3 linked regions of the Saccharomyces cerevisiae S288C genome follow. Each later gene encodes a partner of the first gene's protein in a complex. Each region holds a gene or a part of one and is shown in the gene's direction. Other genes may lie near its edges.

Evidence for each region.
Region 2: RRP42 (region 1) and RRP45 share a complex: the UniProt entries of both Saccharomyces cerevisiae proteins name them as parts of the RNA exosome complex.
Region 3: RRP42 (region 1) and RRP46 share a complex: the UniProt entries of both Saccharomyces cerevisiae proteins name them as parts of the RNA exosome complex.

The regions. Positions count from the first base shown.
Region 1 is NC_001136.10:262,752-265,891, reverse strand, and holds RRP42 (exosome non-catalytic core subunit RRP42), read left to right. Parts: upstream 1-1,781; coding exon 1,782-2,579; downstream 2,580-3,140. Other genes in the region: YDL109C (putative lipase), read left to right, coding at 1-634; TMA17 (Tma17p), read left to right, coding at 928-1,380; TRM3 (tRNA (guanosine(18)-2'-O)-methyltransferase), read right to left, coding at 2,667-3,140. UniProt on the Saccharomyces cerevisiae protein: Non-catalytic component of the RNA exosome complex which has 3'->5' exoribonuclease activity and participates in a multitude of cellular RNA processing and degradation events.
Region 2 is NC_001136.10:1,018,763-1,022,298, forward strand, and holds RRP45 (exosome non-catalytic core subunit RRP45), read left to right. Parts: upstream 1-1,984; coding exon 1,985-2,902; downstream 2,903-3,536. Other genes in the region: RNH202 (Rnh202p), read left to right, coding at 606-1,658; PHM6 (Phm6p), read right to left, coding at 3,245-3,536. UniProt on the Saccharomyces cerevisiae protein: Non-catalytic component of the RNA exosome complex which has 3'->5' exoribonuclease activity and participates in a multitude of cellular RNA processing and degradation events.
Region 3 is NC_001139.9:675,068-678,185, reverse strand, and holds RRP46 (exosome non-catalytic core subunit RRP46), read left to right. Parts: upstream 1-1,843; coding exon 1,844-2,515; downstream 2,516-3,118. Other genes in the region: thiamine transporter TPC1, read right to left, coding at 621-1,565; VAS1 (valine--tRNA ligase), read right to left, coding at 2,686-3,118. UniProt on the Saccharomyces cerevisiae protein: Non-catalytic component of the RNA exosome complex which has 3'->5' exoribonuclease activity and participates in a multitude of cellular RNA processing and degradation events.

The DNA.
Region 1 (3,140 bases):
GTCATGGAACACGTTTTGGAAGAGCAAGGAAAATAACTGCGACAAGAAATCTAAACGCTTGATGAATGCTTCCGTCATCAAATCTATGAAGTCTGTGCTTCTATCACCATGCCCCGACGCAAAGTTCTTCTCAGATCCCGATGCAAGGGTCGCAACAATCATACATGATAAGATCTACACAGAAAAGAATTTACCGCCTCCATCACCAACACTTTATGAAGGAACAGCAGCCAAGGAAGGCGAAACGAGGAAGACGAGAAAAGAGATGGAGGAAATCATAGCACGCCGCTGGCACAAGGGGATGCATTGGAGGAAAGTCGTGGTATTGCTGAAACCAGATGCCCACAATAACATCATCGTAAGAAGAAGGTTTTCCAACGCTTACGGCTGGCCGGTGGTTGACCACCTTGTTACCGCCCATTTCCAAAGAGATGACCCAATCGCCTCACCAATGCAAGATAAACAGTTTGCTGAGGAAGATATAAACATGGCAACCGGAGGGGTGGAACCAAACAAGTTCTACTCATGGCTCACCAAGATCGAGGATCCTAGTGTGTACCATGGTGGAATAGTCTCCACAGCTAGCCAGCTCGCCAGCTCCTGGATTAGCAAGCATTCCTCTGTGACAGATTGACTGTCTATCTTGACGTCATCCCGGGATTGACTTGCAATTTACTATTGTCCACACCTACGAAAGTCCATTTTACTTCGTAGTTCGATAAATGCGCTTACGGGTCTTTTTCGAGCGGGACAACTCTTCAGCTCCTCCCCTAAAACCGAGGCCGAATATCCCTTCTCCATATAAATAAGACACTTTTCACCAGGAAAACAATACTTCAGAAGCTTATTTCTCTTGACAAAAAGAGGGGTAAGATCTTTATAAAACATAAAGCAAATCAAAACATAATAACTACTACAAGTAACATAATGTGCTCAGCAGGCGGTATCAGAAGACCAATCCAGATCGAAGAATTTAAGACGGCGATAAGCGGCATGTCCGACATGGAGTTGGCACAGATTAAAACAGAAATTGAGAACAGTATCAATCATTTGCAGAGGTCTAACGCCCGCTTGGGTAAATACATAGCTAAGTTGGAGGGTGCTGACGACCGTCTTGAAGCTGACGACAGCGACGACTTGGAGAACATTGATTCGGGAGACCTGGCGCTGTACAAGGACTCTGTCAGGGAGAACGAAATTGTGCTAAACAATTACAATGAGAGAGTGGACGCATTGGAGCAAGAAACGGTATATAGAAAGACGGGCCATGGCAAGAGTAAGCACGAGGTAGAGGCAAAGGACAACACCAACAAGGGCCCTGACGTTGACATGGACAATTCAAATGTGGACGTCGTGACACCAAACAGCATATTCATTTAAGAGACGGGATTTAGTTTTACTGCGCATCATTTTCACGTCATACTCTTTGTCTCTCTGTTCTATCTCTTCGTATAAATATTTCAATAACTCCATTTGTCTATTCTATCTACCCGTTCTATCCTTACTACTAGATATCTTAAAGAAATAATAAAATAAGTAAATACAAAAAAAACTCGCTATTAATAATTTATCTCCGAAAGCCCTAGGGTGTGCTTTTCTTCCGTGCCCTAGTCTATTATTTTGAACCCTAGTTGGCGAAATTTTTTTCTAATATTCAGAAAAAAGAAACGTAGAGCTTATATGGTGAAGGAGTACAATGATACTAATAGTCTGTAGACGGCAAAAGGCATTCTTTTTGACTAGCACAACGACAGTTTGAGATTCTGTTGAAATAATCATTTATGTCTCTTTCGGTCGCCGAAAAGTCGTACCTATACGATTCACTAGCAAGCACGCCTTCAATTAGGCCCGATGGAAGACTACCTCATCAATTCAGACCTATAGAAATATTTACTGACTTCCTACCAAGTTCCAATGGATCGTCCAGAATTATAGCTAGTGATGGAAGTGAATGTATCGTGAGCATTAAGTCCAAAGTTGTGGATCATCATGTGGAGAATGAACTACTTCAGGTCGATGTAGATATCGCAGGCCAAAGAGATGACGCGCTGGTAGTAGAGACAATCACTTCTTTACTGAACAAGGTTTTGAAGTCTGGTAGCGGAGTAGATTCCTCAAAGTTGCAATTGACAAAAAAGTACAGCTTCAAAATATTTGTCGATGTTCTGGTCATTTCATCACATTCACACCCAGTTTCTTTAATATCCTTTGCTATTTATTCAGCGTTGAACTCCACATACCTACCGAAACTTATTTCAGCTTTTGACGACTTAGAGGTGGAAGAACTTCCTACGTTTCATGATTACGACATGGTTAAGCTTGACATTAATCCGCCTTTAGTGTTTATATTGGCCGTTGTAGGCAACAATATGCTATTGGACCCTGCAGCCAACGAAAGCGAAGTGGCCAATAATGGCCTAATCATTTCCTGGTCTAATGGTAAGATTACATCACCTATCAGATCAGTAGCATTGAATGATTCAAACGTTAAAAGCTTTAAACCTCATTTGTTGAAGCAAGGTCTTGCAATGGTGGAGAAATACGCCCCCGACGTAGTACGATCACTGGAGAATTTATAAAAATATAGTCACAATTAGATAAAAAGACAAATTAGTTTACATACTAAAAACTTCATGGTTAACAAAAGTGGGAATGAAACCTGATTCTTACATGTGTTGAACTGTATAGGAATGAACGATAACTGCGGTTGCCGTTTGAATATTCATTGATCTGATCACACCAAATTGTTGAATCTCTAAACATAAATCCAATTCGCTTAACAAAGTCCCCGGAATACCGAATGCTTCGGTTCCTAGCAAGATCAATGATTTTTTAGGGAATTGGAAATTGTTGTCTAGCTTCACTGATTTATCCGTTTGCTCTAGCCCAATTAATGTGTACCCTTCCTTCTTTTTCTCTTTCATGAAACTTGCAATCTCATCTAGGGCAACTTCCTCCATGGGCATCCATCTATCAGCAGTCACAGCAACATTTTTAAATTGAGGATGGTTTTTGACTTTGATGTCTTGTACAGTAAGCAGTCCCACACCTAAAACATCACATAACCTACAAATACCTCCCAGGTTTGGCGGCTTATCAACTAATGAAGATACCACAATCAATTCAGAACGTGTAACGAC
Region 2 (3,536 bases), 760 kb from region 1:
TGTCTAATACATCCAGTTGTGATGTATTCTATATCTCAGTTCTACAGTAGCACGAAGTTTCCCGGCCTCTCTATTCAATAAATTCAGCTATCGCTGATTATCAACAGCAGCAACGAATAAAGCATAAAAGAACAGAAAAATTCTTCTACAAATTTATTCTGTAAAGATTCAGCTTCTTTCGTGAATTTCTAAGTTCATGAGGGGAATTTAAGTATGGCGTTTCTTCGTAGCGCCATTGTCTTGAGCCAAAATGGAACTCTAAAAATTTTCACGACATTTTACTAGTCAGTAAAGTGAGCATATACATATAAGAAGAAATTTCAAAAGGTAAAAAATGGAGCAACTTCCAGCTCATTATCTTTTCAATGTTGTCGATGCCATAGTTGGATTATGAAATCTCATATTCATAACCACAACGCGTTTTTTTCCTTTTAAGGCACTACAGACTCCATTCTCACAAGTTTGTCAAAAGCACGAGCGCGATGAGAATTAAAGTCAGATCTGGTTAATGATTCTGGTACAACAGCAGAAACAAATCGAGTACAAATTTAATCTTATTCTGTCGCAATAGTTGACTTTCTTTTCTGGCCTCTCGAACAAAAAGCATGACCGTTTCCAACATTGGGGGGGAAGAACGACTAATAATTTTACCAGACGATTATGAAACTTCGAAAACTATAAACACTTTTACACTGCCGCCACCTTCCAATATTACATCCAAACCTCGTATCGAGCTCTTCGAAAATATTAATGGAAAACTTTACGAAATAAGATCTTTTCAATTCGGCAAAGGGCCCTCGTATTCACATGAGGAAGATTTGGCAAATGATAAATATCACTATACTAAGGAAAATCACCCGATCAAATCAACTTTCATTGTAAATACGTCTGATCCCACCGATGGTTATGTTTTTAACTCAAGCAAAATACACTTTTGTTCTTTATACGATATTGCTTTTAGTTTGATTGGATTTTACTATAGAAACAGTGTTTCAGCAGATGAACAAGATTACTCCAATTCAAGTGATACTGGTGAAAACCAAAAAAGCAACAGCAAAACCAATGAGAAATTTCTTACGGTGCGTGATTACCATGATTTCTTAACGGATAACCATGACAAGAATTGGGAAAACATTTCTTTAAGTCGTCTCAAGAGTGGCTTAGCAAAAGTTAGTGAAACCATTGAGGAAGCTGGTGACGTCTATTACAAGATCACATCTGCAATGATAACACAATTTTTGTTAGGCAAGGTATCAAAAATTGTAGAAAACTTTCCTCCAAGTATCCCTACACTTAAAAATGCCCCAACGGAAATAAAACAGTGCTACAAGGTAGTTATGGCTACAAATCTTTTAGTTTCCCTGATTCCAAGGGCGGCCTACCATAATTTACTTACCTTTTCACCTACAATGGATAGTGGTTGCCTAAATCCGGATATAAAAGCTAGCTTCATAGAACTCGAAAACTACGAGACTACGAACGAATTACAGAATGCTGAAAGAGAATTACTGATGAAAAGTGCCATGAATGTAGGCCTAAATTCGAATGGCAGGGTTTCATTGCCAGTGAAAAAAGTTACCAAAAAAATAGTTCAAAATAAAAAACCAAAAGTAGCCATAGGAAAAGGGGCCATTGATGGATTTTTTAAACGTAAGTAGCTAGTATCATAATTAAACAGCAATTTGAATGCTATAACTCGGTGGTGATGACCTCAGTGCGAGATAATTACACAATATTGTCACTACCAACGAATGGGCTACCTTTTTTTTCCTTTCTCGAATTCAAGAAAAAATTAACAACTTTTCCCTCGATGATGTTAACAAATGTCTGAATATAAAGGAATAGGAAACGGTTGCTAGATTGTATTTACCTTACCAACTTTCAAGTTTTTTTTCTAACTTCCTAACTTTCAGTCTCGATACATTAATCAACAGGACGTAGTGATTGCAAAATTGTTCAGAATATACATTAGATTAAAAGACAAATGGCCAAAGACATTGAGATATCCGCATCCGAGTCAAAATTTATCTTAGAAGCACTGAGACAGAATTATAGGTTGGACGGCCGCTCCTTTGATCAATTTCGTGACGTGGAAATAACGTTTGGTAAAGAATTTGGTGATGTTAGCGTAAAAATGGGCAACACCAAAGTTCACTGCAGGATTAGTTGTCAAATAGCACAACCATACGAAGACAGGCCATTTGAAGGATTATTTGTAATATCTACAGAAATATCTCCTATGGCTGGTTCTCAATTTGAAAATGGAAATATCACGGGGGAAGATGAAGTTTTATGTTCAAGAATAATTGAAAAATCTGTTAGGCGGTCGGGCGCATTGGACGTGGAAGGACTATGTATCGTTGCTGGCAGTAAATGCTGGGCTGTGAGAGCTGATGTACATTTCCTGGATTGTGATGGTGGATTTATTGACGCTTCGTGTATTGCCGTCATGGCAGGATTGATGCATTTTAAGAAACCAGATATAACTGTCCATGGCGAGCAGATCATTGTTCATCCTGTTAATGAAAGAGAGCCAGTTCCACTAGGTATACTGCATATTCCAATATGTGTAACTTTTTCTTTCTTCAATCCTCAAGACACCGAGGAAAACATAAAAGGTGAGACTAACTCAGAAATTTCCATCATTGATGCAACATTGAAAGAGGAACTACTGCGAGATGGTGTATTGACGGTTACGCTAAACAAAAACCGTGAAGTGGTACAAGTTTCCAAAGCGGGTGGTTTACCAATGGATGCGTTGACGCTAATGAAATGTTGTCACGAGGCTTACAGCATTATTGAGAAAATAACTGATCAAATACTGCAGCTTTTAAAGGAGGATTCAGAAAAGAGAAACAAGTATGCAGCCATGCTTACATCTGAAAATGCCCGCGAGATCTAATATTAACGAAAAAACTGAAATAAAAGCAACGCTTATACATATACATGCATGCATTAATATATGTATATATATCGGTACGTATAGATTGTAAAATTACACTTACTACTAAAGGCAGTATGAAAGACGCCCGCAGTTTTTTTCCTACTGTTTTCTTGACTGCGGTGTTCAAAAACATAAAAATCATTAAATTACTATAAAACAAACGCATACTGCGAAGAAAAAAGGCTCGGCTATAAATGCATATGAGAAAATATTATCTTTTGCCTCCCTGCTTAATTTCTGAAGGCATGTACTATCCAAAAGAAAAATCTTGAAAGAAAACAAATCCCATTATTCTTATTATTAAAACAAAAACTTCGTCATCGTCATCACATAAAAAAGACCTACCATTGTCAAACTGTACAACAGCAACACAATAATAATGACGATGATGAGTTCCTCGAGAAACCCTAGAACGGCGTTATAACACTGTTTGAGGGTATTACTTTTTCCACTACTCTCGTGGCGCGGAAGACCTGCTTCCAAATCTACTGTGTAATCAATACACTTAACCTCCTCTCTCTCCCCTTGTGCGTCAGAAAACTCTGCCTGTCTTATTTCCTTCTCCTGTTGTCCTATTTTCAGTACATCATCG
Region 3 (3,118 bases), on another chromosome or scaffold:
TTTGCGATTTTTTTTTTTGGTAGGATCAGGCGAGGTTGAACATCTCCCACGTTTCTCATTTCTTGGCTATTAAGGAGCCAAGAAATGAGAAAAGGCGAAAAAAAAAAAAAAAAAAGAAAAAAAAAAGTGTAAGTATGCCACATCTAAGAAGGGTGGCTACCACAAGGGTGCAGAGATTGCAGCAGTCCTTGCTTTCTTCAATTTTACTACTTCTTGTTACTCCTAGTCCGTGTGCTTGCGCAGATGTAAGTTGTGTTGAAACAACAAGCAGATGTAGTGGTCCCTGACGCTGGTTCCATCGGAAGATCCGATTCATTGTTTCCTTCTCTCCCTTCCCCGCTGACTGAGCGGAAAAAAAGATAAAAAAAAGAAGAAAAACCGGTGCGGGGCAGCAGGCAACTAAGAAAAACCGGAAAAAGGGTTGGCGTCAGATCGCTAGCAACGAGATTCCTCTTTTTTTTTCGATTTTTTGTTATTAGAGGAAGACGGCGCGACTGAGTCAGGCCGTAATCGGAATGGAAAACCGGGCGGCTACCGATCTTTGTCAGTGAAGAATATAAGATATGATGATTTCGTATATGTATATGAGTGTGTACATGTGACAAAAAAGATTGGAAACTTTAGTACATCCGCAAATAATGGATGGCAGTTTCATACCCCCAGAAACTCACAAAAGTGGTGGGTATTGTCTTGGAAAGGGCCACCAGAATACCTCTGTAAAGCGAACTCACACCTTCTTGTTTCAAAATCTGTAAACCGATTCTTGCGAATCCGTACCCTTTATAAGAACCGTATACAGACGAATGACGGGAGAACTTTTCCAGATGCTTCGAATTCATGAACTGCATTCGCCTACGGATCGTTTCGAGGGGGAAAGTAATGATCTTAGCAATGACGCCGCCAATGGTACCAGCGCTGTGATTTAAAGTAGCCAGTTCCCATTTTTTATGCGCGGCGGTCGTTTTTTCGTTTTCGTCACAGTATATCCTGATTGTTTCGTATGTTCCGAACATTATAGATGCGGTTAGAGTTATGGTTGTCATTGACGCGATGGAGCCCTTGAAAAATCCGGGGAGACCTTCTAGTTTCCAGATATCACGCACTTCTCTCGTGATGCTCATTGAGTGCATCTGGTTGTTGGCAACTAGTCGGGTCCGTAAAACATCGAACGGGTAGGAAACGATGGAACTGGTTATGCCAGCAAAGGCTCCGACAACAAGACTATGTAAGCGCGCCTCTAGTCCAAATGGAGTTAAATATCTATTAAAAAGGGAGTATGAACTAAACTGCGCTGAGCCATAGGTAACGTACAGCAAAGAACCGGGTATGTTACCCTTCCAAAAGGACCGGATGCCTTCGTTCTTTATCATGCTTCTGGCCACCTCCATGACCTGACTTCCGAAGGGCTTCAGCCCATTTGCAGGGGTCAATTGCAATCTGATCTTAATGGTATCCATGGGAGCAGTTATGCTACGGGCAAGCAGCCCGGATACGGCGCCAGCCAACAAAGTTTTCCACGCGGCCACATTTTGCCCTTTTCTTAACGAGTCCTCCTCTTTGAACATATCAACATTTATGTACTTTGAATGGTTTATATAAAGCTCCAGACTATGCCAAGTTAAAGGTGACAAAATAGCGCCTTTTCTTCATAAAGACTATTATGTACCTCTCTTTTTCTTTTTACTACTTTTTTTTTCCTTTTAAGCGCATCGGATTGTGGAAAAAAGAGTGGAAAATTTGTTAGATGAACCAGTTAAGATGCATAAAATATCTCTGCATATATGGTAATAACAAGGAGCCCAATACCAAGAATAGATTAGATTCTGCTGAAAAAAAAAAAAAAATGAGCGTCCAAGCAGAAATAGGGATATTAGATCATGTAGATGGTTCATCTGAATTCGTATCACAAGACACCAAGGTTATTTGTTCTGTAACAGGCCCTATTGAACCAAAAGCAAGACAAGAACTGCCTACACAATTAGCATTAGAAATTATTGTACGTCCCGCGAAAGGGGTGGCCACAACAAGAGAGAAGGTACTCGAAGATAAATTACGGGCAGTTCTGACCCCACTCATCACTCGTCATTGTTACCCAAGACAGCTCTGCCAGATAACTTGTCAAATTCTGGAATCTGGTGAAGATGAAGCCGAATTCTCCCTGAGAGAGCTAAGTTGTTGTATAAATGCGGCATTTTTGGCTTTAGTTGATGCAGGAATTGCCTTAAATAGTATGTGCGCAAGCATCCCTATTGCAATAATCAAAGACACTAGTGATATCATTGTCGATCCCACTGCCGAGCAATTGAAGATTTCGCTCTCTGTCCACACTTTAGCTCTGGAGTTCGTCAATGGCGGTAAAGTCGTGAAAAACGTTTTATTGTTAGACAGCAATGGTGATTTTAATGAAGATCAATTGTTCAGTTTACTGGAGCTGGGTGAGCAAAAGTGTCAAGAACTTGTCACAAATATAAGAAGAATAATACAGGACAATATATCACCTCGTCTAGTTGTATAGCCATTATAGATTATAATATACCACAACATGCTATGTCGTATGCCGGAGACTACCTCTTATATTTGGAAATAGTTATTATTCAATGTTCTAAAATTCTTAACATTTTCGTTGTTACATATACATAGCATATATATATATATATATTACATTAATTTTTATCTACCTTCAATCTACAATTTCAAACGCTTCAAGTTTTCAATAGTAGCTTCCAAACCTTCGATTTCGGCAACAGTGTTATCCAGCTTGCTTTTATTGGCTTCCTTGGCCTGTGTATTAGCCTTTGTTTCGTAATCCTTACTGTTAATGGTTTGTTCAATACCGTTCTTGGATTTTTTAGCCTTTTCAAGTTTCTTTTGAACTTTCGCAATTTCAGCATCAATATCAACGTGTCCCTTGACGAGAAGATGTACATTGACTTCTGGGTTAACAGATTGCAATACGCAACCTTCTGGAATTTCGGAAGCATCACGAACAACAGTGACTTCGTCGATGGCCTTGATCAACGAGACAATAGAATCTTTCTGATCTTCAGCAGTTTTGAAGTATTCCTCGTGGTTAGATTCAACGAAAACCTTACCATTCTTCAAAATATTGTACTCAGAT